3 linked regions of the Astyanax mexicanus genome follow. The protein of the gene in region 2 purifies or fractionates together with the protein of the main gene of each other region. This does not show direct contact. Links are inferred from orthologs where the notes say so. Each region holds a gene or a part of one and is shown on either strand. Other genes may lie near its edges. The genes, in order: fbxo36b, skp1 and ccna2.

The links.
Region 1: the proteins of skp1 (region 2) and fbxo36b purify together in Homo sapiens (affinity purification with mass spectrometry; 3 studies listed by BioGRID and IntAct, with this or other methods). This does not show direct contact. The link is inferred for Astyanax mexicanus from reciprocal best matches to the Homo sapiens genes SKP1 and FBXO36.
Region 3: the proteins of skp1 (region 2) and ccna2 purify together in Homo sapiens (affinity purification with mass spectrometry; 4 studies listed by BioGRID and IntAct, with this or other methods). This does not show direct contact. The link is inferred for Astyanax mexicanus from reciprocal best matches to the Homo sapiens genes SKP1 and CCNA2.

What each region holds. Positions count from the first base shown.
Region 1 is NC_064411.1:57,737,603-57,748,576, reverse strand, and holds fbxo36b (F-box only protein 36b), read left to right. Parts: upstream 1-4,263; 5' UTR 4,264-4,264; coding exon 4,265-4,414; intron 4,415-6,141; coding exon 6,142-6,250; intron 6,251-6,357; coding exon 6,358-6,530; intron 6,531-8,210; coding exon 8,211-8,453; 3' UTR 8,454-8,578; downstream 8,579-10,974. UniProt on the Homo sapiens protein: Substrate-recognition component of the SCF (SKP1-CUL1-F-box protein)-type E3 ubiquitin ligase complex.
Region 2 is NC_064424.1:48,033,053-48,044,026, reverse strand, and holds skp1 (S-phase kinase-associated protein 1), read left to right. Parts: upstream 1-4,096; 5' UTR 4,097-4,279; intron 4,280-5,571; coding exon 5,572-5,668; intron 5,669-5,968; coding exon 5,969-6,042; intron 6,043-6,574; coding exon 6,575-6,718; intron 6,719-7,783; coding exon 7,784-7,924; intron 7,925-8,482; coding exon 8,483-8,518; 3' UTR 8,519-9,132; downstream 9,133-10,974. Other genes in the region: ppp2cab (serine/threonine-protein phosphatase 2A catalytic subunit alpha isoform), read left to right, coding at 104-313, 417-590, 679-768, 865-1,026, 1,161-1,279, 1,554-1,626. UniProt on the Homo sapiens protein: Essential component of the SCF (SKP1-CUL1-F-box protein) ubiquitin ligase complex, which mediates the ubiquitination of proteins involved in cell cycle progression, signal transduction and transcription.
Region 3 is NC_064417.1:25,272,195-25,283,168, forward strand, and holds ccna2 (cyclin-A2), read right to left. Parts: upstream 5,540-10,974; 5' UTR 5,291-5,539; intron 5,147-5,290; 5' UTR 5,118-5,146; coding exon 4,923-5,117; intron 3,684-4,922; coding exon 3,449-3,683; intron 3,363-3,448; coding exon 3,256-3,362; intron 3,175-3,255; coding exon 2,951-3,174; intron 2,871-2,950; coding exon 2,666-2,870; intron 2,580-2,665; coding exon 2,466-2,579; intron 2,355-2,465; coding exon 2,221-2,354; intron 1,866-2,220; coding exon 1,814-1,865; 3' UTR 1,455-1,813; downstream 1-1,454. Other genes in the region: bbs7 (Bardet-Biedl syndrome 7 protein), read right to left, coding at 6,900-7,033, 7,224-7,347, 7,447-7,550, 7,705-7,814, 8,264-8,428, 8,545-8,684, 8,982-9,047, 9,165-9,239 and 4 more. UniProt on the Homo sapiens protein: Cyclin which controls both the G1/S and the G2/M transition phases of the cell cycle. Functions through the formation of specific serine/threonine protein kinase holoenzyme complexes with the cyclin-dependent protein kinases CDK1 or CDK2.

The sequences.
Region 1 (10,974 bases), on a different chromosome or scaffold from region 2:
AAAAAAAGAAAAAGAGTTCCCTCAGAAACTGCAAGTTAACAGCTCCCCAGAAAAGAGCACCTAAAATACTTCGTAGAGTTAAAATTTTTATAAGTTTATATAATTTTATACAATTTACAGAGCCAATTACCCAACCCACTCATTAGGATCACTATCACTCCCCCTATCACTAGTGATGCTCCCCCAACACCAGGAGGGTTAAGAAGACCAGCACACGCCTCCTCCGACACATGTGAAATCAGACAGACTCCGCCTCTTTTTGAACCTCTTTTGGCCGAGTAGCATCATCACAGCACTAACGCTCGGAGGAGAGTGCAGCGACTCGGTTCTGATACATCAGCTCACAGATGCAGCCTTGTGCTGATCCACATCACCCTAGGAGTGATGAGGGGAAAGAGAGAGCGCCATCTACTGTACTGTACCCACCCAGAGAGAGCAAGGACTACTGTGCTGCTCTCTCGGGGCTCCGGGTGCTGTGATGGCAAGCTGCATGACCGGGATTCGAACCAGCGATCTTAAAGTTCGGGGGGAAAAAAAGCCCGTAGACTTGAATAGCAGTTATTATATTGATTTTAAATTAATGTTTTGCAAAATTTTTGCTTTTAGTTTAAAGCGTGAAGATTTTGCCAATTTTTTTTTTCTCGTGTAAACAAACTCTTAAGTAGACATATTGGGCGATTATTGAAGTCAGTGAAAATTAATTGAATATTTCTATAGGTTATATGATACGTTTATTGAAATGATAATGTATTTACCGTGACGGGCCTATATATATATATATACTTAATATTGTTAGAACTTCAGAGACTCCCATAGTAGTTCTAGGTTAACAGAAATGCACTCAGTTTTATTATTTTTTATTTTTTGTGGACAATATATCGTCCCAAAAATTTGTATGGCAAATAATGTCATCATTTCTTACTATTTTTTTTCCTTATTATTTAAAAAAAAAATACTCAATATTAAATGTAAAATAGAAAATGGCATAAAAATATAAATTCTGTTAGTTTAGGATGCGTCGTTCTTTACCCGGTTTACACATTTCAGACTGTACTAACCTGTATTAATAGCCCATTTCCAATACATTGTTTTTGTGACGTCGCAAAAACCATTTATTGCACATTTACAGAAATCTGCTCATTTAGCCTGTAAAAAATGAAGCCTCGCCCCATTCACCCTGTAGATATAAGGAGTGTTCCAGTCCAGACTGTTTATTATTCATATTATTTTTTAAGTACTTTGAAGCAATACTGGGCAGCCAATCAGAACAGAGAGCTCTTATACACCCCACTTATAGACTCATAGTGCATTCCTCCTGGTGAAAGACTCGTTCAAAGCTGATTATTAGTATTATTAGTGTCATATATCCATATTCAGCTCTGTAAATAAATGAAGAGAGCACTTCAGTTTCTGAATCAGTTTCTCTGATTGTGCTATTTATAGGTTTATGTTTGAGTAAAATGAACATTGTTGTTTTATTCTATAAACTACAGACAACATTTCTCCCAAATTCCTAATAAAAATATTCTCATTTAGAGCATTTATTTACAGAAAATGAGAAACGACTGAAATAACAAAAAAAGATGCAGAGCTTTCAGACCTCAAATAATACAAAGAAAACAAGTTCATATTCATAAAGTTTTAAGAGTTCAGAAATAATCAATATCTGGTGGAATAATCCTGGTGGTTTTTAATCACAGTTTGTTTTTTATGCATCTTGGCATCATGCTCTCCTCCACCAGTCTTACACACTGCTTTTGGATAACTTTATGCTGCTTTACTCCTGGTGTAAAAATTCAAGCAGTTCAGTTTGGTGGTTTGATGGTTTGTGATCATCCATCTTCCTCTTGATTATATTCCAGAGGTTTTTAATAAGGTAAAATCAAAGAAACTCATCATTTTTTAAGTGGTGTGAACCTGGTACCACCAACACAATTGGCACTTTTAAAATACTTTTTAAAGTTCTCAGAACACCATGAATCTCTAAAATTTCTAAAATCTGAATGAAACAAATTCTAATCATTTTTCAAACCACCTCCAAATGTGATTTGGATCTGATTTGCAAAAATTTAGATTTTTGTGGTTTCTGGCTGTTCAGACTGTGTCTCAAATCCAAATTCTGGATACAATCTAGCTTTGACCTTGCAGTCTGAATGTAGCGAAATTGAAGTCCAGTCCAGTGTTTTGTTGTTGGCATCGTTAGCATTGTTAGCATCGTTAGCCTAGCATCTCCTGTATATAAGCTAGGCCTGCGTGAGCACACATGGCCGTACCGAACGTCCTGACCGACCGGATGAACCTGAGCTCAGAAATCAGACCTGGCCTCCGGTGCCGTATGCTAATCTGCTAGCGTGTGATTGGGTCGGGCCCTGGAGTGTAGCTGAAGCAGGGGGTGTACAGCAGCACAGCGTTATAGATAAGGCTTTTATATGATCTGCTGTGGAAGCTTTTAGTTGCAGAAGCAGATTTCACCTGTCTCGTCCTCCATCTATGGATTTTCAACTAGACCTACATCAGATTTACCATTACGAGTGTATAAGTTAATGTGTACATATATAAATACATGTATAAAAATATTAAAGCTTTTTAACTACTGTACGAAGTGTGTGAAAGTGTTTTTCTTTACCACGCTTTTTAGTTTTTTGTCTTTTGTAATTGTGATTATTTATGTACCTCTCTGACGCTACTTTTGGGTAGTGTTCCTCCTGGTGAGAGATCCATTACTGCCAGATCTGCCTCTATGACCCTTTCAAACACTCAATTTCTGCCCGTTTTACCCATTTTGAAAGGTCTTTTTGTGTTGTAACTGCCTATTAATAATCTGAAGGGTGTATATCTCCAATGGTTTTATTTTACGAACTACAGACATTTCTCCCAAATTCCAAATAAAAATACTCATTTAGAGCATTTATTTACAGAAAAGAGAATTTTGAGAAATGTCTGAAATAACAAAAAGGATGCAGAGCTTTCATGTTCATAAAGTCTACTTAGAATATATTAAAAAGTTACTTTATTTTAGTAATTCAGTTGAAAATGCAAAACCTCAAAGTATTATATAGATGTATTGTACACACACTGATCTATTTTAAGCGTTTATTTATTTTATTGTGGATGATTATGGCTTACAGCCAGTGAAAACCCGAAAAACAGTGTATAAGACCAATTGGTACTTTTGGAAGTGTGGACAGCGTGTAAATGCTGCTGGAAAATGAAATCCAACTGAATTTTTTTAACTGAATTACTGAAATAAAGTAACTTTTCAATGATATTCAAATTTTTTGAGATCTTTTGTATCTGTAATAATGGATAATCATTTTGTCCTCTAAATGCTACTAGTGTTAGCTTTTTTTATTGCGCTGTGTGGAAGACTACTAGGTTTAAAATCGTCACCTTCTTAAAAAATTTCATTTTTTTTTTTTATTATTTTACTTGAATCATTTCCTGTGACTTAAGCTAATTTATTGTTTCTAATCAAAATAAAAATGTGACGTGGGTCATTTTAATAGCTTTCTAGGACCAATCTCCACGATCCAGGTTTCGTCCCCAGTTTTACTATAATAATAAATGTTAATAATAAAGTATACATAAAGAAAAAATACACTTATTAATAAAATCTTTAGGCTATAAATGTTGCTTAAAATGAGTTGCTTAAAAAGAGTTTTTAAGTATTAATTTTGAGTTTTATTGATATTTTTTTTTAGCATTTTGTCCCCCCATAAACCCCCATGTTTTTTTAATTACTGTTTTCTTAATGTTGAATTAGGATTAAGGTTTCTAGTTGGTTCTAATTTTTAAATTAATAATTTAATAAATAAAAAAAAATAATTTTATTCTAATTTTATTATATAGTTTGTTTTTAGTCTTTTAAGGTTTTAGGATTATTAATATGGGAGAATATGACAAGGCGGGGTGTAGATTGTCAGAATATAATATATCTAATAAATATATAATATGGTGTTTAGCTATAAATCCCTTTTTTATTATAGTTTTTATTATATTTTCTTGTTTTAATGTTAGTATTTGTTATTTATGTTACAGTTATTAAATTCTGGTCATTTCCTATGTCCGATTTTAAATGATTATTTTGAATTTTATTAAAAAGTCATTTTAAAAAATGAGTATGTGGTTTTATTTTAGGAAGGTGACAGTGTTCTTTAAAATAATTTAGATTATAATTATAAAATATTAAATTCACTCCCGGTTCAGTCTGGCTCATGCTCGTGCCCGCGCGGTGGGCGTGGCTTTCTCATGCGCTTGCTTTGTTATGGCAACGGTTGCGCGCGTCCTTGTTGCCATGACACCGAGCGGAGTTTGCAAGATGGCGAAAGTGCAGGAGGAGAGTCTGCTGGAGATCGGGGGTCAGGGTCCTGCTCCAATCAAAGACTACTACCACCTGCTCATCACCAGCACACAGGTAAACCCCTCCCCTCACCTGAGCACACCTGTTACTCACCTGAACATCTGCACACAGGCTTCAGAACCAGCCAGCTAAAACAGCAATATCAGAATACTGCGACTTTTATCCTCATAAAAATAACATTTACTACTTCACTTCTTTTTAGTATTTATCTTATAAAACTACACTACACAAAAAACATTATCAAAATATATTATCCAGCTAAATCACTTTATATTTCATATATTTCTTTGTATACAGTTGGTTATATGTCCTCGGAAAAGTTGGCATTTGATGGAAACGAGGTTAAAAATTTTTCAAAAATGCATTTAGTTTAATTTTTTTTTTTAAATATTTATACATAATTACTGTGATATTTTACTTTGACAATGTAAACTAAAACTTAAGCTTTACCTTTTTAAGCTCAGTATTAAGAGAATATGGGAAATATTAAGTGAAATTAATATTATTAATTACTGCACTTGCAGCAGCATGTGTCTTCAGGCCCTTGTAAATAAAAAAATATATATATTTACAGCTCTGTAAAAAATGAAGAGAGCACTTCAGTTTCTGAATCAGTTTCTCTGATTGTGCTATTTATAGGTTTATGTTTGAGTAAAATGAACATTGTTGTTTTATTCTATAAACTACAGACAACATTTCTCCCAAATTCCAAATAAAAATATTCTCATTTAGAGCATTTATTTACAGAAAATGAGAAATGTCTGAAATAACAAAAAAATGCAGAACTTTCAGACCTCAAATAATGCAAAGAAAACAAGTTCATATTCATAAAGTTTTAAGAGTTCAGAAATAATCAATATTTGGTGGAATAATCCTGATGGTTTTTAATCACAGTTTTTTTCATGCATCTTGGCATCATGTTCTCCTCCACCAGTCTTACACACTGCTTTTGGATAACTTTATGCTGCTTTACTCCTGGTGCAGAAATTCAAGCAGTTCAGTTTGGTGGTTTGATGGTTTGTGATCATCCATCTTCCTCTTGATTATATTCCAGAGGTTTTCTGGGAGGGGCACTGGGTGATGTAAGGGTTTAGGGGCGGGGCAGGAGGGAGAACCATGGGAGTAAATGGAAACATCATTCTCGCCTATAGCACAGTTAAATTTGAGAGGGCGTCAGAAATTTCCAGAATAAAAGCGTTTTTTTAAAGGTTAGAAAAAGTTTACAAAATTTAAAGTATGACTGGTATGTTTTACACTTTAGGATTCTTCCTCACATCATTGATTCACCTCATTCTGCATGTGCTGTGCTCTTACAGTCACCTTTACAGGACTTTACCACACCTAGAGAGAGTAGCTCCAGTAACAGTGCTGAACTTTCTCCATTTGTAGAGCGTCTGTCTTACCGTGGACACATGAACATCAAAGGCTTTTAGAGATACTTTTAGAGTAACCCTTTCCAGCTTCATGCTTAAAGGTCACAATTCTTGAACGTAGGTCTTCTGAGAGCTTGATCTTTTGTGCGAGTCATGATTCACATCAAGCAATCAAGCTTCTCAAGAGGTTTACATACTATTCCTCCTCACTGTGAATGTTTAACATGTTGTGTTCAGTAAAATCATGCAAAAATATATTTGTTTGTGTGGTTTTAGTTTAAGCAGACTGTGTTTGTCTATTGTTGTGACGTAGATAAACATCAAAACACATTTAATGACCAATTTATGCAGAAATGCAAGCATAATCTCAAAGGGTTCACATACTTTTTCCTGCAACTGATGATGCAGGTGATCTGGAGGTGGTGGAAGATTTCTCTGAGGGCTGAATTCAGAAACGCGAGACCTGGAGAACTGAAGGAATCACACAGCGAATATTTGGAAGACAGCACGCTGCAGAGTAATGATATATTCTGAATATATATATATATATATATATATTTTCCGGCTGTACGTGTTTAATAAGGTGTGTAACTTATAAGGTGTGTATTTAATGGTTAATCTCAGGACAGGTGAAGATCGTTTTTGGTCCAGGTATCCTGAATTACTCGTTGGATCTGTGCCAGGGTCAGGCTGACTATCTCCTGCGTCTTCCCGAGTCCATACACCTGAAGATCATGTCTCACCTGGACCTGGAGGACGTGGCTCGGTTGGCAGGAACCTGTTGCAGGTTTAAACAGGTAAAAACTGTGGATTATCTGTAATTTTCCCTTTTAATATAAACCCTGTGCAAAAACAGATTACTCAATATTTACATATTTACAAACACAGAGAGGAATACAGACTCCTGCTGGAAAATGAAATCCACATCTCGCTGACTTTAGACTTGATAATAGAACACAGTGGATCAACAGCAGCAGATGACAGACATGACTCTCCAAACAAACCATCACTGATCATCAGTAAATTTTACATTTCATTTAAAGTAAATCAATGCCTCCCTCTCTCTGCTGATGACAACTTTTACGGAGATACAGATTTCATTTTCCAGCAGGACTTGGCACACTGCCCACACTGCTTACCAAAAGTAACAATTGGTCTTATAAAATATAATATTCTAATTTTCAAAGACACTAATTTTTGAGTTTTCATTGGCTGTTAACCATAATCAATAATTAACAATAAAAGAAATAAACTCTAAAAATAGATCACTCTGTGTTTAATACATCTATATAATATCAATCAATCAATCAATCAATCAATTATCCTTTATTTCCACTCCGTAATACATTGAGCGTAACCCCATTTTCAATGTAGACGAGCATTTACAACATTAAAGGAATTGAAAATCAAGTCTAAATGATAAAAACAAGCAAACAATGTAAGATAAATAAAAATAAAGAAGAAATAAAAAACTTAAAAATAAAACAGAAAGGCTAAAATGTAGAGCAATAAAACAAAGAGATTCAGATCATTACAATGATAAAAACGTAAATGCTGGAACTATAATAATTATAATAATAATAATAATAATAATAATAATAATAATAATAAGTTAAAAAATTATAAAAATGAATAAATAAATTAAATAAAAAAAGGTCAAAAGTAAAAGCAGTAATAAAACAAATAAAAGGATGAAATGAATCAAATAAATAAAATATAAAAGGGCTAAAAGGTAAAACATGAAATTAGATAAATGAAAAGACATAATAATTAAAATAAATAAAAAGGGAAAAGGCCGTGAGAAGGTGGTTAGATATATGATATGTGGGTTTCAGATTTTGAGTATCTGAATTACTGAAAACTTTTCAATGATATTCCACTTTCTTTGAGATGCACTAGTATGTGGTGTTCCCACAGATAGATAGATAGATAGATAGATAGATAGATAGATAGATAGATAGATAGATAGATAGATAGATAGATAGATAGATAGATAGATAGATAGATAGATAGATAGATAGATAGATAGATAGATAGAAGAGTCTGATGGCTCTGGGGACAAAAGATCTCCTGAGTAAACAATGTTTAATATCCTGCTAAACTGTTGGGTTTAGATAGATAGATAGATAGATAGATAGATAGATAGATAGATAGATAGATAGATAGATAGATAGATAGATAGATAGATAGATAGATAGATAGATAGATAGATAGATAGATAGATAGATAGATAGATAGAGAGAGAGAGAGAGAGAGAGAGAGAGAGAGAGAGAGAGAGACGTTCCTCAACCATCCACCTCTCTCCTCCGCCTCCACCGGGAGGAGTTGAAGAGTTTGATGGCTCTGGGGACAAAAGATCTCCTGAGTAAACCATGTAAACAGTGTTTAATATCCCGCTGATATTAGATGGGTTTCCGTATCTAGCTGCTGTAATATGGAGGATATCTTTAATATATATGATTCTGCATTATTTGCAGCTCTGCAGCTCGGAGGAGTTCTGGGAGCAGACGGTGAGGATGCACTGGGACACAGTTCCCGCTGAGGTGGAGGAACTGGCCGAGGAACTGGGCTGGAGAAACGTCTTCTTCACCAACAAACTGCAGCTGCAGAAACAGATCAGCCGCCGGAAACAGAGGAACCAATCAGGCGCTGGCGCCGCCACCGGCCTTCAGGTGGATTCGCTGATCAGACTCTCTGAGAGCAAGCATGGACTGAAATAAAGAAACCTTCAGAAGCTTCTACAGATTAACTAAAACATCGTTAATCTCACAGCGATTTTACATCCATTTAGCGTTATTGTTTTATATATATGGTTTTTATTAAACTGTATTACTTACAGAAAAGACCTTTAACGTCTTGTTTATATTCTTTTCTTATAGTCTTTACTGTGTTGTTCTTGCAGTGTAGAAATGGACATTTAAATATTCATTATTATTATATTTTTCACACTATAAGGCGCACTTAAAATCCTTTAATTTTCCCCAAAAAAATATATCAATCAGGTATTAAGGAGCAGGAGTTTCAGTGAAGTTTCTCCAGCACTAAGGCTGGAGCAGTAGTAGCACTACCCGCTAACCATACAAAGCACTAGCTCTTTCACCATTCAGAGGTGAGTATTATAGGCTTGTAGTCTGCTGCCAACCCTGGCTAGCACTGCTGGAGCAGCATTATTAGCATTACCGTTAGTGGTTAGCTGCTAATGCTAATGCTCTAGCCTTAGTGCTGGAGAAATTCGGAAAGAAATGGAAGTGCTTTACTTACCAAACTACATAGTTTTCAATAGAGAAATCTGTGTAGATTAACATTCAGCACTCGTTTGAGTTAAAAAAAAAAAAGTTGTTTTTTTTTTTACTTAGCTTAGCTTAGCTTAGCTTTACAGGTCTGGCCACTCACCTGCAAGATCTGCTGAGTTAGAATGGAAACATGGCGACACCTTGTTCCTTACTAGTGTTGCTTAAAATGCCCCTTATAATCTGGTGCGAAAAATGATTGATTTATTTTACAGAAAAATAAGATTATAACCTTTTACACCAATTTTTATCTCTTTCTGAATTTTTAATAGAAAAAAAACATCTCCATTTTTGTTGATTTAAAGTTTACTACTTAATTTGAACACACAAACTGTTCCTCACACTGTGTAACAATTTCTTGATGAATGGACCAATAGAAACTCTCTAAAAATATCTGAAATAAACTGTTTTTACATTGACTTTTCACATTGAGTTTTTTCTCTTTCTTTTTTTTAATTGGACAGTTGACAATATGCAATATGGAGGGTGGCAATACATGGTGTGGCAACAAAATAATCCATAAAAAAACTGAATTATTTCTGATTTATCATTATTTTTCCATATACTAGTGCATCAAAAAAATGAGAATATCAAATAAATCAATAAAGTGACTTTATTTCAGTAATTCAGTTGAAAATGTGAAACTCATATATTATATAGTTGTATTAATCACAGAGTGATCTATTTTAAGAGTTTATTTATTTTATTATTAGTGATTATGAAGCTTACAGACAATTGGTATTTTTGGTAAGCAGTGTGGGCAGTGTGCCGAGTCCTGCTGGAAAATGAAATCCTCATTTCCATAAAAATGAAAACTTCACACTAGACCTCGAGCAGTTTGGACTGTGTGTCTCTCCACTCTTCCTCCAGACAATGGGTGCGGATTTCATTTTCCAGCAGGACTCGGCACACTGCCCACACTGAGTACCAAACAAAAGTACCAATTGGTCTTATTACATAATATTCAAATTTTCTGAGACACTGATTTTTGGGTTTTCATTGGCTGTTATCCATATTATATGGATTACTGAAATGAAGTAACTTTCTTAATGATATTCTAATATCATTATATAAGTTTTTCCTCACAGGTTCCTCAGCGTTTTTTACACAGATACTTTATAAAAGTTATGAGTGCATTGTTTCCCTGAGTTCAAATACATTAAAATGTTTTTTACATGCAGTGAATTATCAGAAATACATAATGTTCTTGAAGATTCTCCCCTCTGACCCTCTGAACGGCCTGATAATTGCCTCCTATTTCAGATCTTCACTGCTGATGTAGAGAACGTAGCCTCGCCACTATTTTATTCAGTTAAACCTGATGACCTCTGGATTTATCAGGCTGAACTGCAGGTATATATGTGCTTAAATGAGACTATAATTGACTGTATTCGTGTATATAAGCATGCTGCAGAACCTGCATCAGTCACATCTTCTGAGGAGCACCGGAGGAGCAGAGATCTGTCCATCATCAGCCAGGTAAGATCATTTTATAACCAAAAAATAAAGAATAAATATACATTTTTATAATTCATTTTTTATATATTCCATAAAAAAACTGTATTATGTGGGTTGGTTGTGTTGAGCTGGTGGGGGGCGGGGTTCGGTGTGGTATTTTCTTTAATTTTATAATTTTTTTTTTATTTAAAGAAAATATTTTTTTCCCCATGCGTTCACATATAAATATATGTTTGGTCATGTTATAAAAAGGAAAACGAAAAAAATATATATTTTTGAGTAGAAAATAATCTACAATTTCATTTTTACTAATGTAATTATAATCAAACAATCACATTTTAATGCTGTCTGATTTTATTTTTATTTGCTGGTCATTTACAATACTGTTTAATTAAAACACCACTACTTTCACCTGTAATAAACATTAAATTAATGTTAAATAGATCTTAGTGTTATTAGAACTTCATACTGGATATCAATGTTATCATATTAG
Region 2 (10,974 bases):
TGGTCTAAATTATTTACTTATTATCAAAGTTTAGTATAGTAGCTGAATAGCTGCCTATATATCGTGTGTTGACAGTGATTAACTGTTTTAATTGTTTTTCTAGGCTAAAGAAATTCTGACAAAGGAGTCGAACGTGCAGGAGGTACGATGTCCTGTAACAGTCTGTGGAGATGTTCACGGACAGTTTCACGATCTTATGGAGCTTTTCAGAATCGGAGGAAAATCACCGGATACGAACTACCTGTTTATGGGAGATTATGTGGACCGAGGTTATTACTCTGTGGAGACGGTCACGCTGCTCGTAGCTCTTAAGGTATGAACTACTGACAGTAAATTTTAACTACATTAAAACTAGCGTTTTGCCAAGATGGTGTTAAAAAGTAAAAAAAAAAAAAAATTGTTTAATTTATTTTTAGGTTAGGTACCGTGAGCGCATCACGATTCTCAGAGGGAACCACGAAAGCAGACAGATCACGCAGGTTTACGGCTTTTACGACGAGTGCCTCAGAAAATACGGCAACGCAAACGTTTGGAAATACTTTACAGACCTCTTCGATTACCTTCCCCTTACAGCTCTGGTAGATGGACAGGTAAATTCATCACCTAACTTTTAGTATTTGATCATTTTCTAAATGTATTCTGAATCTCTGCTGAAACTTTTAAACTGGATCTTCTCAGATATTCTGTCTTCATGGAGGACTGTCCCCGTCTATAGACACGCTGGATCACATCCGCGCCCTGGACCGCCTACAGGAAGTTCCACACGAGGTGAGTATGGATGACCTTGCTAATTACTGTGTGTGTGTGTGTGTGTGTGTGTACAGGATTATTGCAGTAGTGTAATGCGTGCTGTGTGTTCCTCAGGGGCCGATGTGTGATCTGCTGTGGTCAGATCCGGATGATCGCGGCGGTTGGGGAATCTCACCCCGTGGCGCCGGCTACACCTTCGGGCAGGACATTTCTGAAACCTTTAACCACGCCAACGGCCTTACCCTCGTCTCCAGAGCTCATCAGCTGGTGATGGAGGTGAGTCGAGGGGTAAACGCTGGATGTGAGGGTGGAGGTGATTATGGAAACTGTGGTGTTAGGGGTTTGCAGGAGTTAAAGTTGTATAACTGCCTGATTTTAATGAAGATTTCTAATGTATTCTTTAATCTCAGGGTTATAACTGGTGCCACGATCGTAATGTGGTAACGATCTTCAGCGCACCAAACTACTGCTATCGCTGCGGGAATCAAGCAGCAATCATGGAACTGGATGACACCCTAAAGTATTCTTTGTAAGTGTCTTTAGATTAATAAAATAATGTAGAAAGAATATGTGGATATGTTTGCTATATAATATTTTATGTATGTATGTATGTATGTATAAATATATAAATAAATAGATGAGGCACTTGGTTTAGCTCTGTTCTGCAGGTGTATTTTCCTCTGCTCTTTTAACTGGTAGAACCTGAACATCATTCTGTAAAAAAAAAAAAAAAGAGGAATATTTTGTTTTTGTTTCTTATCCCCAATAAACATGACTAACTATTGATCTTTTTTTCTTCACAGCCTGCAGTTTGATCCCGCCCCTCGCAGAGGAGAACCCCACGTTACTCGCCGAACACCGGACTACTTCCTCTAATCCTGTGAAACACAGAGCTGTATCGCCACCATGTAATAATCTATATTCAGCTTCAGAAACAGGGGGGGGCGGGTTAGCTCCGGTCAATGGGGGGGTGGGGGAGGTGGTTAGGGGGATTTGTTGGGGGTGGGGGGGCGGGGGTTACTGGGCGGCTCTTTAAAGATTCAGAGAAGAAATGTCTGTATACATGGACCAAACGATGTGTGCCATACCCAAAAAATTAAATCCAGAAGCCTGTGTCCAGTATTATCTCATGATCTCAGTAGTTTCTCTCTCCGTTCTCCTCGTTCGGTCTGTGGGAAGGAAACGAACTCTGAACGCGTTTCCGCCGCTATACTTTGTGAATTTCATGTTTCTGAACAGTTTTTAATGTTTGCACTTTTTTCTTTCACATTTTTTCAAAGCGAGGAGGTGAACTGAGGCATGTGGCGTTTTCTGAGCAATATTTTCCTTTTTCATTTCTTTTTTTTTTTTTTTTTTACACTGAGGATGTTTTTTCTGTAAGTATATACCCCAGCAGCCATTTACAACAGAAGAGATACTTAGAGAGAATCTACACGTTCTAAAGGCATCATGTCAGTTTGTGTATGGCAGACATCAAAAGATGGTGAGAATGGTGAAAGGTTCTTGTGATGGGTAAATGTCTGTACAATGGGCACCAGCTGAATAATAAAGTTGGAAATTGCTCCTTTATTCTGTGTGCAGTTTCTTTATTTGACCTTTGACCTGTCTGACTAGAACTGCAGTTAATCCTCTTGATGATTGTGTGATAATTTTACCATGTTTCTTATACTGTATTCAGCTTTTCATACAGGTAGGAATAAAGTTAAATCTCGGCAGGAACTGATCTGTATTACAGAGAGTAGTTTATCTAGTTAATACTGTTGATCGTGTGGTGTTATTCTATTCTATTGGTTTTTATTAATGAACAAAGACCAAAGTTGAAATATGGTCTCATATACTCGCTTGTATATACTCATCATACTCACACTATTCTGTAAAAGTTCACTTGTCTGTCTTCACGCATAAATGATTCCCAGTCTTAATCCAGAGAGTTTAACATGATGTGGGTTCAATATTTACAGCTCAAACAGCTTCAACTTTTCTAGGGAGGCTTTCCACAAGGTTAAGGAGTGTGTTTATGGTGTTTATGGAAATTTCTCACCATTCTTCCAGAGGCACATTTGTGAGGCCAGACACTGATGTGGGATGAGAAGCTGTCTCTCAGTCTCCTCTCTAGGGGCGGAGCCGAATCCCGGGAAAAAAAACGCACCGTTTTCATAATCCCATCTCCACCACACTTACCACAAATTCACTGAGCTCCTGAGAGAGCCGTTCTTTCACTAGTGTTTGTAGAAGCCTCTGCAGGATGAGCTTCTGCTTTTTTTTTATTAAACACCTGTGGAGACGGAGGAGATTCTGCAACACCTGAGTTCAGAGATCTGGATGCAGGAGAGAATAGTTTGGCAGTATAGTGTTTATTTTACCAGTAATTAGAGGTTACATCATTCAATATTTTTTATTTTTCCTAAACTATAAGTAAGTAATAAAGTGATCTAGACTATGAAGTGTTTAACAAACCAAAATACTCTGTAAAGAGGAAACTCTTGCTCTTCCTTTTCTGGGGTGCTGCTGATATGTGTTTAATTATAACAAATATTATTAATTACATCCAGAGCCTCAATCAACACATGTAGGGCTGTGATGAGAAATGGCGTCATCTGGTGGACTTTTTGTATAAATAGATTAAAGTGTTCACTGTATTATTTCTTTTTTGCCTGATGTTATAAACACCTATTAATTGTGTAGTTAGTTAGTTTAACGTTTAGGTTAGTTATCTAATTAATTTATTGTCCTCTATAAACAGATAAGATTCTTCAGTAAACTAAGACAATGTTATAAAAATAAACACGTATATATATTCCGTTGATTTTTAATATAAAACTTTTTTGTAGATAAAATTCCTAAAGATAAACGGATTCTAGATACAGTTAACAGCAGAGACGTTAAAGTTAAACCAAGAATAACATCTTCACCTTTTATATCTACCCTGTAATCAGTTTAATTAGACAAATAACTGGATGAATATTTCTAAATGTTTGAATAACCACATTTGAACATTTTTGTGCAGAATGAATATGTGTAATGCTTATATTTTGAAAAATATATATTAACTTCAGTCAGTATTAATAAAGCTTTACTGCAGAGCTCAGTTCTGTACAAAATGGTGGAGCTTCTGGGTTATTAATAATAATAATAATAATAATAATAATAATAAACAGAGAAAGGCTAAGAGTGATAAATGATTTTAATATTAATGTTGATTCTGTAATGTGTATAATATTAGATGTATATTATTTTATATTATTTTATTGGAGATTGCAGATTATTATTATTAAAGGTGATTATTAATATTATTATTGTAGATCATAGATTATTATTATAATTATTATTAGATGTTTTAGGTGGTAGATGTTTACAGGTGAAGGCCGCGGTGAGGGGCTGCAGTGCGCCGGGGGGCCGCAGGGGGAGCTGTTGGCCGGTATGAGAGCCAGAGCGCAGAGCTCCAGCCGCACTCAGCCCGGACCCACAGCGCCGCCCGCCCGCTGACTCTGCGCAGCTTCACCGCTGATTCCAGGAGGACGCCGACACGGTGGGTTTACCGGAACAGCGCAGCGCCGGTTCTCAGCGTCTCCAGAGTCCGTCTGAGTTTAAATCCGGCCGCTCTGAGTCGGGTTTTGGCGGAATTATGAGAGAATAGAGAGGTCGCTAGGCGAGGCCTCGCAGCTAAAGCTAAGCTAACCCGGTTCTGAGCGGGGGGACGGCGGGGCGACAGCGGGGTCTGTTGGGGATGATTTTACTGTAATAAGCGCCTCGCCGGTGTTTCTGTTTAAATATGAACTCACTGTAAACTGTATTAATGTTAAACGAATGGAGAGACGCGTTAATTGGCGCAATATATAACCCGCTGCAGCGAGCTAACACCAGTGCAGTGCTAATGGCTAGGCTAGGCTAACCCACAGTTTGGATTCAGGTTTGTTTCTATAAAACCGGATTAATATCTGTTTATTTGCGGTCAGAGAGAAATAAACTAGTATAACAGTGCGCAGTCTGTCTGTTGTAAAGATTATATATTATGAATATTAGCTGTGTAAACTATATAATTTTAAATTCTAGCTAGCGTTAGCCCTTCTGCTCAGCAGAGCTGCCTGCAATAACAGGCTGTGATTAATCAGGCCCTACAGTTTACCACAGCTCACTATTAAACTATTCCTCCAGCTCACCATAAACACTTCCATGTATGTGATTGAATTATGTAGATAAATGCTTACACACACAATAAGAGATGGCGCGATTGCCATTTAATTAATAATACAATATTAAATCATTTGTGTGCTTAAGTGGTCACAAGCTTAAAGACAGTATTTTGCACATTTTAACAATGTAATTGTGTCCACAGGTAGCAGTAGTGCAGTAATGTGTGTAGGCCTGGTTTAACGAGACTCGAATAGATAAAATAGTAATAATAAACTGTATAATAAAACTGCTGATGTGTCGAACTCGGGTAAAATTTATTTTACTTTACAAGTGAAAAATTGATCTGTAGCAGATATGTAATTAGGAGTCTGAGATCACATGAAGAGATGTGTGACTCAGTGTGTGAGGGTGGAGAGGGGGATTGAGGGAGGGAGAGTTTTATGGTGAAATCAGTAACGACGTGGTTCAGCCGAAGGTCGCAGTGCTGCAGGTTGTGTTTGGGTGTGTTTTGAACCGGGTCAGTGCAGAACAATACACAGTAAAATGTGTGGTTTGGACATTTTGTTTCTAGTTGTCTGAAAAGACTTTATAGAAATCCATGAAAACAATCTATAAACACCACTAAAATACTGCATATCTAGATCCACTCCAGATTCTGTTTGTTTATAATAAAATCATTCTCTCTAGATGCCGACAATTAAGCTGCAGAGCTCCGATGGGGAGATGTTTGAGGTGGACGTTGAAATTGCAAAGCAGTCTGTGACCATAAAGACCATGCTAGAAGGTAAGCTGACAAATAAACAAACAGTGTCTGTTTTTATAATCTAAAAATTCATTGCTGCTGGTAGGAAGGTAGTGATCAGTGATGCAGCACAGCCAGGTCTTAATAATTCACTTGTTTCAAAGACTGAGGTAAAATTAGTTCTGCAGATACTCTGTGGTCTTCCTGTGTATATATAGGTGTGTGTGTGTGTGTGTGTGTATATTATGTAAGTATGTGTGTAAAATAAGTATATAATATTTATATATTGTAATCAGACTTTCTTTCATTAGTCAAGTTTCTTTTTTTTGCTCTGTTTGCTAGATTTGGGGATGGATGATGAAGGTGATGATGATCCTGTCCCTCTTCCCAATGTGAACGCTGCTATTCTCAAGAAGGTAGAGTTTCTGACCTTATTGTTAGCTGTTCTTTTTTTATTTGAACATCACCTGGATTTGTTTTTTACATTGTTGTTATAATAAGAGCAACAAAAGAAAATATTTGAAACCTTAAAAACCCAGTGCTCCAATCACTGAGCCACCGCCCACCTAGTCCTGCTTAGTCAATAAATAGATTAACCATAAAAATAGATTTATAATAATGTTCATTACATACATAATGTGGTGTACAGTTTCTGTGGGATAAACCATGTATCTCCTTTTAGATTTTTATATATTATGTCACAATTTTATAATGAGTGGAACAATCGACCTTTCGCACAGATTCCATTCAAAGTTCAGGATTCTTTCGTTTTTCTGTAGAGATGTTTTTGTTTGACTGTGTTTATATAACTAATTATTTATGGGTTTTAAATATAATAAAATGGTCAAAAAAAAAAAAAAAACATTATTGATTTTTTGTTTGTTCATCACAGAGGTAAATTGTAGTTAATTTAAGTGTGAGTAAGCCGTGTGTTCGTGTGTGTTGCAGGTGATTCAGTGGTGCACTCATCACAAAGATGACCCTCCTCCCCCTGAAGATGACGAGAATAAAGAGAAGAGGACGGATGATATCCCGGTTTGGGACCAGGAGTTTCTGAAAGTGGATCAGGGGACTCTGTTCGAGCTGATCCTGGTCTGTTGGCTCTATTGTTTATCAAACCGTATTTAGTGTTTTTTCATGTATTTATTCTAATTACATTTTACATTCTGAAATCACTGTTTCAGTTCAGTTGTTTATAGGTGTGAATTTTGTCTTTTCTTTTTGAACGCACACACTTGTGAGGTTCTCATCATGTGTTTTTGGCTGTAGTGATTAAACAGATTTAATAATTGTGATCTAAAGCTACGTTCACACAGCAGGTAAATGTGGTTTAAATTAACTGCTTTAAAAAAGCTGTAAATAAAGGTTAATCAGGAAGTGGGCGTGGCTGAGTACGCTGGATAAGCTCAGCTGCAGATGCTGGAACTGCTTGATAGCTCCTGTGATGCTGAAGCTGAAACTTTAGATGAAGCTCTGCCCTTTAGTCGGTTTAGGATGTAAACTGTTCAGACTGTGGAATATAAACCATGTTAAACAGATAGTGTGAACAGAATAAACACACAGGAAGAGGATTTGAGCTGCTTTACCTGCAGCCTGAGATTAGGATCAGTGTTCTGGTTGATGTTGGGTTATTTAATGTGTTCTATTATTGTGGGTTTGGTTTCTGGGAACTGTGTGTTAAACCAGTTTAAATCAGTGGGTGCAGATCCTAGTCTTAAAGGGCTGAGTGCCCTGCACATTTTAGTGTTTACACTGTTTCCAGCACCCTTCCCCAGCTGATCCTCCGATTACCCGCCTCTTCATGAGTTGATGGAGGTGTCTGAGTGGCGTGGCGGGTCCTGCGGGTCCGGGGTGCGTGCGTGTGTGTGTGAGATGTGTTGGAAAAAGTGCAGCATGTTTATCTGCTGCCTCTGTAACTCAATCCCTGTTTTTGCATAGTGGTGCAGCAACACAGAGCCAGATGAGTAAATGCCCCGTGGAGGGGGGATGGCAGGGGGGGGCTGTTGGTGGGAAAAGCTGGAAGAGTGTATGGATTAAAGTTCTGGAATGGAATATGTTTATATATGTTGTGGTGGAGAGTTGGTTTCATTTGCATCATTTTATAATAGATTGATCAGCCACACTTCCCTTACTTTCATCTTTTTCTCCCTTGTTTAGGCTGCAAATTATTTGGACATCAAAGGCTTACTAGATGTCACCTGCAAGACAGTCGCAAATATGATCAAAGGCAAAACCCCAGAGGAAATCAGAAAGACGTTCAATATCAAAAATGACTTCACAGAGGAAGAGGAAGCTCAGGTAAAAAAAAACTTCAGCCTGGTGGAGCTTCAGCATGTAATTCAGTCTGGCTTATCAGCGTCTGTGATTATAGAGCTGGAGCTTCTGTCCTTTCGCTCGTGGACACGATGGATATCAATCATTTTTAAGTTGACCAATTTAATATTCATCATCAGTTTGGAGAAAAATCTAATTTTTATGCATTTTGGAAACATTTTGATCAGCTAAAGAGAAACCTGAATGAATTTAAACAGGGTTGTGTAGTTTAACCCTTTTTACACCTGGATGCTTTATGCATCGGGATAATCTGAATAATGTATGTAAGTATAATATCTGACACACAAATGCAAGACATATTTCAAATGTTTGCACATCTGATCACTCGGCCTAGAGATGAACCGATCACCCACTACCTCAGTAATAATTACTGCATAATAAGCAAATTTACATACTTCTTCCACACAGCTCAGAGTGTAAACACACGCAGTTTAAATCTGATCCAGGTACAGATGCAGTACATGGTGTAAACAGGGTCTGTTAAATGTTCTCTAAATGTTCTCTGTTGGTTTTTCTCTCCAGGTACGCAAGGAGAACCAGTGGTGTGAAGAGAAATAAGGAATGTGACACTAACACACTGTACGGATTTTTCCAAAAACAGATTTACTGGTTGCACTGCACTGTTCATATTGTTGATATTGACCTGTAGACCAATAGGATGAGACCCCTCGTGTATTCATAGCATGATCTTCATTGCTTGTGTGGTGCAAAAAAATCTATAATTTAAAGTTTTTTTTCCCTGTTTTTATTCCTCTTTATATATTCAGCAGAAATAAATAGTCTTCACCTCCTTCCTGTAGAAGTCACTCTTTTTTTATTATTTTTCAAATTAGATGTTTCTTTATGAAGCAACCAAGTAGATTTTTTTTTGTTTTTGACTAATTGAAATGGTTAAAGCTTGATTGTAATTTTTATAAACGCAGCTCGTGTGTACTTCCTTAAGTCGTGCTGAAGAAGAGCGAATAGAATCGAGGAGATCTGGAGGATCTGGGAGGTGGAAGTTTCCTGTGTGGAAGTTCTTGTTTAAGAAGTAAAATGTGTTTTTCTTGCGGACGTTTACTTTGCCTGCTGTCATTGTAAAGGATTGGACACATTTTTTTTAGTTCTGCTCTTACAATGAAGCTTAGGAATATTAATCTTTAAATTCCGAAAATAAAACCAACAAAACGTTACGAGTTTTCTGTGTTTAATGAGCTTCTTCCCTCTGCAGATTCTCGAGTCAGAAGCCGAGGTTAATGTAGAAGATCCTGGGCAAGACATTTAAATAATAAAACACACACACACACACACAGCATTAGTGCTGCTATTGAAGTTCAGTCTGCTCTGTAATTCGGGCGGCAGGTTTATTTGGTTTCGGGCTGTTTTGTATGGAAATGGAGCAGATCTGGGTCACAGACAGAAACCCGTCTCGCGCTCGGAGCAGGTGAACAGGTATGTTGGTGGTAAACAGCTGCTGTGTGTGAACAGGTGTGCGCGGGTTCAGTAAAGGTACAGAATTATTTAGACAGTAAAGTTTTTAATTGATTTGAAGCTCAGTAAACAGACCTGTAGTTCAATGAAATTCTACATTAAATCTGAAAAAACTACAGACAGATCTTTATATAATCTCTGTAATTTCACAACATCAGACAATACTAACATTCATAAGGGGTTTATTTGTTGGACTCTGGAGCCCATGTTCAGCTGCTGCCTGTGTAGAACTTCAGTCTGGTCTTCAGGAAACTGGCGGATTTTTTTATTTATCTGAAGGTTTAAGGATCCGGCTGGTTTTACTGGATCTGATTGGAGCTTTATTAACCCCAGTGATTCAGTTCCACCATCTAATATCAAACCTTCACCATGTTTGAGTAGAATAGAGGTTGTGAGGAATTTGCATTCATTATCATTTATCTTCCAGGTGTTTTATTGGTTCACCTGGACAATATTTGAATTTGTACTTTTCCTCCAGAGCCACCTCAAACTTTCTTTACGGATCATTTTCAAAACTCAAACTGTACATCTGTGAAGTGTATATGTAGAAATACAGACTCGAATAAAATACATCTGAGCTCATTTTTCCTTATTAAACATAAATTCACTTATAAACTACAGACTGGATCTCAAATCAGTAAATCGTATAAAATCATTTTTCTGATTAAAACAATCTTTTCATTTTAAAGGTTTGGGAATATTTTGAAGTGAAATAATAATACGGAAGTTTGATGGAGAATAAGAGGTTAATAAAACATCACACAACACAAGGTTTCCAAAATAGTTTAATGTATTAAAATGAGGAATATTATTTCAGTTTCATCAAAAGAAAAAACAATAAATCCACTTGTATAAAATAAACTAAAGACAGGTGATACAGGTGTGTTTTGTTTGGTCAGTCATTAATAATGAGCTGTTTATTATAGAACAGCGCCCTCTGCTGGGAGGAGAGAGAGAATACTGATCAGGTAAAGAACAGCCGAACGAACAGTTCAGACAGAAAACTGCAGTGAAGCTTTTTGTTTGTTTGTTTGTTTGTTTGTTTGTTTGTTTGTTGACTGACTTTCAGATGCTGATCAAATGCACACGTTTTACAGACGTTGGGTTTGTTTGGATTAATGAGAAGAAAAACAGAAACACTACAGATCTACAGAACAGAACTATTTTGAAAAGTGTTTTTTTTAATGTATGAAAACAGAAGGAATATGATGTCATCCAAATAGTTTGTCTTTTTTCTTTTCTTTTTTTTTTTACATAAAAACATATAAAAGTAGTTATATATAGAGAATTCCATATCTATAAAAAAATTTAAGATTTACAACACTTGAAATGGCGCGTGTTTGTTCTGGGGGAGTGATGAGGGTGTGTGTGTGTGGGGGGGGGGGTGATGGAGGTGATGGAGGCGTGGTTTATGGGGGTTTGAGTTAATCCAGGCTGTTGGAGGATGAATAAAACAGTAAAACAGGTTTTCTGCAGGTGGAGTTCGGGTGGATTCAGGAGGAAGATTCATGCTGCAGGACTTCCTTCAGCCTCCTGAAGCCGGG
Region 3 (10,974 bases), on a different chromosome or scaffold from region 2:
AACTGATGATCAACTTTAAAAGGTGGAGAGGGGAACAATCACTGGTTCACTTGTTTAGATCTTTCTTTTTTTAAGTAATTGACCAGACCATTGAAAGATCATTATTTTTTGTAATTGTACTGCTGACTATTTACACACACACTTGCAACCTTTCAGCCAAATATTGCTTGCCTTGAATGTAAATTATTCAAAGTAAGTGCATTTCTTTTTAAGTTATTTCCTTATAAAAACGATTGTTCCCTTGCTCTGATGTTTTTAAAATTTATATTTATCTCAGCTAATTGTGTATGTGAATTAAAAAAAGTCAATAAACTAATTCTAATTCAAATTGCCTAATTTACTTCAAAGGTGAACTATGGTGCAAAATGGATTTGGCGGTGTAGTGAAACAGATACAAACTTTTGTTAAATAGCCCACCTGTTTATTTAAATACAGCACTTTTAGCTAGTGCTCCCAACAGGTGTACAATGCTAGCAATATGTGGTATGATTTATTTGCGTGGACAACAGTTTACCATTAACAACTGAGTAGCTCATTGGTAAAAAAAAAAAAAGTGTTAGAATAAAAAATGAGGTACTGAAGTGTGTACAAGAAGATTAAAAACACTTACAGTACCACAAGGTAGTTCTCCAGGCACTGCCATCTATAAATTAAGTCAGGATAAGTCAACGTAAGCCCAAACTAAACTACAGCTGAGGAGTCATGTAAATAATTGTATTTTCACAGAATAAAATTTCAGTATGTTGTCCAACATAATCTTAATTTCTTTGCATGGGCAATGTTGCCCCATCACTAGCATTATAATCCTGTCAGGGGTGTCAGCAAAATGCTGCATTTCAGAGCAAAGACTACACCCCACCCATTTCACACCGGATAGCTCATTTAATGAACAGGTTACATGAAGCAATGTTTACTCATCTTTACCTATAGACTTTACCTTTAGAGATCAGATGAGCCCAGAGGTCAATCAATGTTATAGTGCACGCTAAAGATTAAGTTAAAGCAGACATGCTTTTGTTGCAACACATGTATGGTACATTCAGCTTATTGAATCATGCACATCCTGTGATGTGGTTTTCCATGCACACATTGCAAGGACTATGCTGAAACAAGCTCACCATATTTTAACTACAGTCACATATATTTTTAAATGTCAGAATAACCATTTAACAACCCAAAGCGTTGAGCATTTTTATGCTACTTATTACCAAAACAACCTCAGCCTCCAGAAAAGAACCTAGAATATATGTAGGTATACAGCTATAGTTAAAGCACTTCAAATTATACAAATTAAGCAACCCATCTGAGATTAGCCAAATTGATTTAAGGCTAGACTGGAGTACTGTACACCAAATCTTGTCTGTTCAACCTCACTCACTACCTTATGTTCTTGTTGAACCATCAAGCAAACTCAAATTAAAATCACAATCAAAAATAAAAGTCAAGAGCCAGCATTGTAGAAAACCAGTGGCAAGGTTTTATTAGATGTCAATTTTATAAAACCTTTACAAAATCAGTAATAAGCACCACTGGTCGGTTTCATTAAAAAATATCAAATATGAAAACAAAAGAAAGATCAAAACAGTGCTTGATTACCACCTGTACAAAATATCTGGATACATCAAGCATAAAAATAGCAATCCTACAGGACTGCACATAAAAATATACAAGAAACACTAATCTCACCACAACCTATACAAAAGGTTTTGGTGTCCATTATTGGAGTTAAGGGAACTTGCAACATTTCAAAAAATGTACACAAATTCTTGTTAGAGTCTGAAATTCAGGAGCATAAAGTACAAGATGAGCAGGTTCAGTTCAACAGCAACTTCTCTGGGGGTTCAATAAGAGAAACCTCATGGTACCTGGAAGAGAAAATAATCCACTGTTAGACAATGTACACAGGTATATACAGTCAATACCCTAAATCAGTGGTTCTCAGACAGTTGTACATATACCACTGGTGGTACTTAAAGCATCCCAATGTGGTAAAGTAGAGGACATTTGCTTGTATTTAAATATTGTACAATGTTGTAGAACCACTGCCTTAAATAAATCTAACTAATAAAGGCACCATTTAAAACAAGTCAGCATATTGGCTTATTAAAATGTTAATGGGCTAGTCACCTTGTAAACATATAAATATTGAACCAACACACTTGTGTACATTATGACAAGTTGATAAATAATTAACGTCTAACATTTGCAACTTCAACTTACTTTGAGCCCTTGTATTTCTCCCTGACCGACTGCTGTGCATGCTGGGCAGCACTGAGGTAGGTCTGGTGCAGATCTTGAATACATGGCATAAGATCTTCCAATGTGTAGCTGGTCATCTCAGCAAGAGCCTTTGACTAAAACACAAAAGGTAGATTTGAAACAACCAAATTAACAAGCAAAATATTGATCTCAAGATAAAAAAATAAGAGCTTAGCAAATAACTAGAATATATGTATACAACTTACCCATGATCCCCCTGTGATGGTGTAGTTTGCCAATATAAAGGCTGCAGCAGCTGTTTGAGAAGGTAGGTACTTCAAGAAGGGGTCAGAATCAACCAAACTTAGCTCTCCAAGAAACTAAAAGAAAAGTAATGGCATGATTAAGAAAAATGCTGCAAAACCTCAAAACAAATAAATGTTCGACCACATTTGCCTTCACTCACCATTGACAAGCTCTCAACCTTGTTGTCCACACGTTGCCGCAAGTAGTACTGGGTGAGAAACTGGATGATCGTTGGAGCTGCCAGATCAAAAGAAAGGACTTTTAGCACCAGATGCTCCATCCTTAACACTTGTTTCTTCGTGTAGGTGTCATCAGTGATGTAAACAAACTCTGCCACCTCTGGGGGGTAGATCTCCTCGAATTTTCTGCAGGCCACCAAAAAGCATGTGAGCAAACCTCTACACCAGTGGCGCACAAGTCAAAAAGCAGAATGTAAAATACTTACGAAGCCAACAGCATAGCCGCTGTGCCAACGAGCTGCAGTTTTCCCCTCAGCACAGACATTGAGGACAGGAAGCGGTCGATGTAGTTCACTGCCAGGTATAGAGTCTCATTTTGAAGCTTGTACTCCTCACCAACCTCCACTAGCCAGTCCACCAGGATGGCACGCATACTGTTTGTGATGTCTGGCTGTTTCTTCATATAACCTGCTTTGGGCCTGCATTTGAGCTGAGGGGAAAAATAAATAAAATATTGAAAGAATTCAAGCCAACAAAACCCATAAATGTGTATTCAAGATGTATAACTTACCTCCATATCCCTTAGATGTGTGTGAATTTCAGCAGCGTAGTCTGTAACTTCATTTACATTTACCAGCCTCTCCTCACCTTCAATTATTGACATATCCATGGGAGAATCTATAACAAAAGAAGAAAGTGTTAGAACATTCAACGCAAAACACTCATACACTTCTATTTGCATACCAAAATCTGCCATGTCGTACCAAAACTGAGATCCATAGGCAGGTCGATAGTAGCAAGGGGCTGCCTTAACCGGGTTACTGTGGGGTTTAGTGTTAACGGGGAACAATCCATGGTGGCTTTTTTGGAAGAAACATGTTTCTTTGAGCAGGCACCATCAGGTTCATCAACATGAATCTGAAAAGCAGGCTGCTTGGAAGAGGGCTTTTCTGCACAACTTTTGCCATGGTCATCTGATCTGCAGGGCTGTACATTAACCTGGTAACACAAGGGAAAATACAAGCAATTAGCCTTTATAGTAAAATATTTTAAATCTACACTAACCCCGTTCAGTGTTTAAAAGCACTGAAATTACCAATTTCAGCCTTCATACACTAACCAATATATCTCCATGTTCTCAAGGCAAATTGTAAGTCAGTGCAGACAAACAAAACTATGAAAAAACAAATTAAGCAACATTGACAATCTTCAATAAAATATCAAATCCTGAGAGCTCCATTGTGCAGGGCTATATTACTGAACTAACTGAGCTGATGTATTTATGAGCTCAAAATAGGTTCAGTCGATAAATGGAAACATTTGTAAATTGCAAATGTCTATGCCTTTACCAAAACTGTCTGGGTATAATCATTTTTCCAAAACTTATCCAGGCCTGGAAAGTGTTTAAATTTCATGACCATACAAACCCTGACAAGCAAGAGTGTTACTTGTATTAGAAAATGTTTCTCTAATACTGGTGGTTAATTTTTGACCAGCTATACAAAAACACTACCAAATTTAGGGCTTAACAGATGCAGGTAACATTTAACAATAAGGATACATTAACTGTGCTTATAAAAGTAGGTCAACTAGTTATTTGACACCAACCTATTCAAAATATCACTACAATTTTTTAACCCCTGTACCAACACATTGGAAACATTCTTGAGAAAATAAGAAATAATTAATGGCTTAACTAGCATAAATTAATACTTTGACATTAAGTAACCATTTAACAAATGTTTTACTGTCGTAAGTGCTGTTTTTGTTAACCTTTATTGTAAAGTATTAGCTGCATGGCAGGGTGCCTAGAAGCACTGAGCAGCTGCAGCATAGCTAGTGTCACTCCTATGGAACCTATTGAGGTGGGGAAAATGGCGGTCTGGGACATGGAGGGAAGCTATTTGGCCATTTAAAACAAAAAACAGGACTAAAACGCATTTAATTACCACGTAATTCAGGTTTAAAGAAGTGTTAAACTTATAAAATGAAGACTTACAACATGAAATGCACTTAACAGATGCACGTAGGCCCATTTAAGCAGGTAGCTAGCTAGCTAACCATGCAGGTTAACCCATCCAGCCAACTAGTGCTGCTAGTTAAAAAATAATATCCAGCCTAGCTTACTAGATCTATAACAAGTGAGTTGACCGAGCAAAAGTAGGAACACAGAGTCTAAAGTCACATTAACAAAGTGTAACTAAAGTTTAGATCACCATTCACAAAACCCCCACAGACCTGTTTGGAGCCTCGCAGGGCGGGCTGTCTCCTCGGGTTGTTCTCCAGCACTCCCAACACGGTTCTGTTGGACGGTTTCGGGTTCACGTTCTCCTGGTTCTCCAGCCTACTCTTTACTGCTGCCGCTCCGCGCAGAGAGAGACGGTTCTCCTGGTTCTGGACGGATCCAGCTTCACTAACTTCGTGTGAGGACATTTCTGCAGCGTGTTAATAGTAAACTCAGGCTATAACGAGAAAAATAACACGATCAGCGAATCTAAAACAGCCCAGAACTATAATTTGTTTAATGTAAGATCCCACAGCGGCGCTCGGTAATCATTAAGCCGTTGTTAGAGACAGTTTAGGCGGATAGAGAGGGGTTGACCTACCGTGTGAGACACGCAGCAGCAGCAGAGTGTAGTTAAAGTTATTCAGCTGCTGATCAGACAAAAAATAAGAGTCATTTAAACTTCAGAACGCAATAAATAAACAACGCTAAACTACAGCTCGGCCTATAATTACACCGACACAAAAAGCGCCATAATCCGGATCAGAACCGCCTAAACTCGCTGTATTGACTCAGGCCGGGTTGTTTCAGTGCTGTCCAACCCGCCGCCGCTCCTGCTCCGGGTTTGTTTCTACCAGTTCAAGTAGCCCGCGACTACTCAAACCGACCAATCAGAGCGCAGCGCAGCGGAGCGTCACTAATCTACGGCAGCCGGGAGGGAGGCAGCGCGCGAGCCGTTGAGAAGTCGATGTAAGAGATTGATTGGCTCAGAGGAGAATTTAAACAGAGAATTGAGGAGAATATGGACAAAAGAGCACAATAGAAGGAACAGCCTGGAGATGGACCTAGTTTAGACCCTCCATAATAGATAAGACTGTTATAATATATTATTTATGTTTATCTGTTCTTTAAAAATAATGAAAAACTAAATAAAAGAAGAATAAAAAGAGAGTATTACAATGCAAAAGTGAAGAAAAAAACACATGAAGGAGAAGGACAAGAAAAAGGGTGGATTTTAGGGTCATTTAGCTATATGCAATAAAAGTAAAAAAAAAATAAAATAAATAAAGGTAGATTTTAATGCCACTTTGTCATTTAAAAATATGTGATAAAAGTACAAATAAAGGTAGATGTTAAGATTTGTATTTATTTATTCATTTATTTATATATAAATTACAGTGTTTATATCACACTGTCACACAAAGCAAATGTTTTTTTCAGGAGATCCTATTCAACATGTGGAAAATAACTTTATAAATATTAGTACAGAGCAAACATAATTAAGAGCAGAAGTCACCCACCAAGACGTTTCCTCTTTATTTTAATACCATTGCTGATCTACTGTTATACTCACCTGTGGAACAAACTTCCAGAGATCTTTCTTACGTCTGCAGAAACTGCTGGCTTATTTAAATCAGGGCTTAGTTAGTTGTAGTTTATGTTAACTTAGAATGTCCTTTAGATTTTTGATGGATTATTTATTAGCCTGTCCTATTCTGAAATGTGTATATCCAAAATGGCCAATGATTTTTTTAGCAATAAAACTTTTGCCCTTTGCAATGTCAAAAACAGAGCCCTTATCTCTATGAAAGGAATTTACTGTGGTTTAGTGAAACAAAATGTAACACTGATATATCACATTTCGTATGTATTTCAGATCTTCTTTAAATTCCAGATTAAACTAATTGTTTTCTGATCAATTGTTTTTCGTTTGTACAATTAACATTCTTGTACAAAAAGGTAAAATACCCTTAACAACACACACAAAACAGATAATGACTTGAAAAATTTATTACATAGAAAAATGACCCCACATAAAGTGAGTACATGAGCAATTTGTCTGAAAAACAGGGTGTCACTAATCTTACATAACACAACACATAACCTAACACAATCTCAGTATGGCATTGATACTTAAGCATCTGTTATACAGCAAATAAATACCACAGAAAAACATTACAATTTCAGTTTGATGACAGACTGATCTATCTTCATCCATCATTAAAAAACTCCATCAGAGAATTCAGGTCATAGTTGTCTAATATTTCAAGAAGTTGGGAAACCTTAGTTTTGACATTTTGTCCTTTAAATTTGAACTTGTCGATGAAGAGGTCGGTTATCATGCCTGTGTGAAGACAAAAACATGTTAATTTAAGAGTTATTAATAATAATTGAATAGTTAAAAGTAGAATCATGTTATATTGTACATATTCAAGATCTGGGAACAGTATCACTACAGTATAATCAATACTATCATAATATTTCTTTAGAAATACAATCAAATGAAGCTTACATAACATACAAAGACAACTTACCATACAGCCTTTCCAGATGGGCTGGCTGCTTCTTATATTCTTCTAAAAGACGAGCAGATTCGTCAAGTATACTGCGATACTCTGGAATCAGAAAATCCGCATTCCCTTCATGCACCTGCAGCTCCTGCACAATAAACACATATAAAAATGTACATACATTACATCAAGTAAGTTTTAATTAAGCAGTTAATATTATAATTCATAACTGCACACAGTACATTACCTTTAAAGCATCAATTAGCTGAACCTTCTTGGCCAATAATAGCTGATACTCAAGTTTAGGGTGAATCATCTTCAGGGTATGGCTTACAGAATCTTCATTCACTTCTAAAGCAGGGCAAACAGAAAAAGGTCGCCACAGCATATACGTAATCAATAAAATACAGTATACAATGTTACTATAACACTGTACAGTATATAGTTACTAAATATAGTAAATTCCAAATCTGGAACAGATCTGTTAAGGATCCTAAGGACTCACCATATGAAATGTTCAGGTTGATTTTGCGCTTGGTGGCTTCCTTAGAGAGAACATCCTTCAGTATGGATATGGTGGAAATATTATCTGACTTAAAGTTCCCTTCGCCTTTGCTAAAAAATAAAAGAAAACAAAAACACACGCAATTACACAACATACATTACTTATACAGATGCATCAAATAGATGTTAATTACATCTATGCGGTTTTGTGTCAAAGTAATCATAAACATGCTCAAGTTTGTGCTAATTAAGGTGACCACTGTTTCACCAGAACAAACCTCATATAAATGGTATTCTATCTATATTCAGAATCTCTGTCTCATATTTATTTGTGTTTATTAGGCATATTTAAGCAGATATTTCAGAATTTTCTTAAAAATTACATTTAAACTGAATCATCAAAAGAACATACTCCAATAACTTATGTGTACACCTTTCACTGGATTTTTTATATTTTATATTTACACTGATAACTAGAAATTCTTAAAACTACATAATCTTTAGATTTATTTGTCTTGTTCTCCCTTCTTCTGTTCTAACTGCAGTGGAGTTGACCTCACCAGTAGCTGGCCTCAAGCTGTGTTCCCAGGAAAGTGTTCTGAAAGTAGAAGGTGATGTTTTCTCCAGCTGGGGTTTTCTCTGGCACCTCAGGCAAGCAGAACACGACCCACGAGTGAATCTCCGCAAAGCTAAACTGGCCCACCAGCCGCAGAGTGTTCATGGGTCTGTAGAGAGAATCAAGGCTTGTTCTTCTAACTATCCTTCTGACACACTTTTTAGCAAATAAATGTTCTGTATTGATTTCTATGGTAGACAACTGATTACTGCATGTGATGCCCACCTGTCTTGGTCAATGCTGTGAGTCCTCTGGTGCAGGGAGAGCGGTTTAATCTGGTACTGTCGGACCTGGCAGGTTTTGGGCTGCAGACGGGGTGTTACGTAGGCCTGAAGTGTGCCATACTGACCCTCAATTGACCTCACCTGGAAATTAATGGAAACAGTGTGAAACAGTGTGAAACAGGCTTCACATTGGGAGACTGAGCACTGAGAGCAACAGAGCGCTGAATAAGGAACACTGGATTACCGGTAACTATTCCAACTGCCAGTATTTGAGAGATAAAATAAGAATTTAGGAAATAAGAATTATGCCATATATTTATTGCCATAAAAAATACTCTAAAATTGGTACTGTTAAGTTAAATCAAATGCCCATATTTATTGTCTCATAATGCTATCTGCTCTCCAATACTGTCAGAATACTGTATCAATATCAGTTACCTTAAGTTCCAGCCTTGTAGTGTTAGCCTGGCATCTGTAGGTGGCAAGCAGGAAATTTCCATTTGGCTGTTGGGAGAAAATATGTAAATAGTAATGCTTTTTAAACTCACATTAGGCCTACATTTGCCGATCCTGTTTGCTTTGGTTCGCAGCATAAATGAAGATGATATAATAGTGTTTTACCTCTGAATCACATTCACTGAAGCTGACAACTGCTGAGTTCTTGTCCACATCTAGTAGATCTATAGGAACATCACTCTGTTCAAAAATAAAGAATATTAAAATATTAAATTATTTAGTAATAATATTTTAAGTATACTAAGATATTAATATTAAAGGTTATATATTTTTACTATTGTAAACCTTTCGAACAGTGCTGACCTGAAGGAGCAGGTTGTCAATGGCAGTCTGCACCTCCAGCGTGAGACTGTAGCTGGCGTCATCCTGGCACAGGGTGAATCTGTCATTGATGCTAAAGACGGGCACCGCAGATACGGCCGTGCTTGACTGAGAGCTCTGCTGGTACTTCTCCCGACCCTGCATTACCTTCACCTGCAGCTGCTCTAACTCAGCCCTGAAAACACAAAACAACTCAACACCAATTAGTAACATATTTGTAAGGTACTGCTATGAAGTTGGTGATTAAAATGCATTGAATTTGGATTGTAAGATATTTAACATTTTTTTATGCAATTCCTCTTCAGATAATTTGTAAATTAAGTAAATATATCATGACAGTAATTGATTTATGACTATTAATCATTAATCATTAATTAAACATCTAAAATAAAGTAATATTAATAATTATTAATATTTCACATTTATCTAGGAGAGATTTAGCTTCTCCATAATAAGAGCTTCTTTTTTAAATTCATAAGGAATATCACTAAATAAGAGCTTTGTCCAGCATTACATGTGTAAAGTCTGTACCTGAGCGCAGCCACCTTTGTCTGGGTCTCTCGGCTCATCTTTACCTCATCTCCTGGCCCTGCCTCCATCTGCTGCGGCTCTGTAGTGAGGCCTGACACCCAACCTAGTGACATCACAACCAGACAAGGGAGTAAGATATTTAAAATAGGGTTAAAATACACTATAAAGACATAAGGTTTTGGTCACACCTCTAATCATTGAAACTGTGTGTTTCACAAAGTCTCATTTCCATAGGTGTACGAAATCAAGTTCCAAGTAATGCAGTCTTGGGACTTTACAGACCTTAGATAGAGAACGTGTGTTGCACTGTGTGCAATAGGAGGTCAGCTGGTGAAATTTATTCCCTACAAGATATTCCACAATAAGCTGTGAGTGGTTATTATTAAACAGTGAAAGCATTTAGGAACCACAGAAACTCAGCCACAAAATGTCTGATCATGTAAAGTTACAGAAGGGGTGTGCTGATGAGAATAGCTGATCAATGACTGCAGAGCTCCACACTTGCTGTTAGAGCTGCAAAGGGGGACCGACTGCACGCTAATGACTATGGTAAAAGAACAGAATGTGGTAAAACCTCCTGTAGGTATAATGTGTAGGTGTCCTTATACATTTTTTAATATGGTTCTATATGGCACTACTTTTAATATGGAATCTGCTAACAGCAGATAGAAGCAACATGGATGGTAGAATGTAAGGAGTATTTTAACTTAGTCTTCAGTCTCTGACCTGTGTAGGTGGTAGTTAGAACTTCCTCATATGACTCCTTTCCTACGCACCCCCCCTGGATTGATGTGACACTTTCTGACAAAACCTTTTGATCACAGAATAATGCAGATTAGTGATCAAACAACACTGATCAGCTATTTTGAAATCAGCAGAGAGTGTTAACCTGTCAGTGTCACACATACATTCTCAAAGCGTAGCGTGGGTTCGTTGGAGCTGTCCAATCCATAGACCTCGACTGTCCCATCATCTCTGCCCACCAGAATATCTTTCACACCATCACCCAGAATGTCAAAGGTATCGATGCACAGCACCCCTTAAGAAGATAATGAAATAAAAA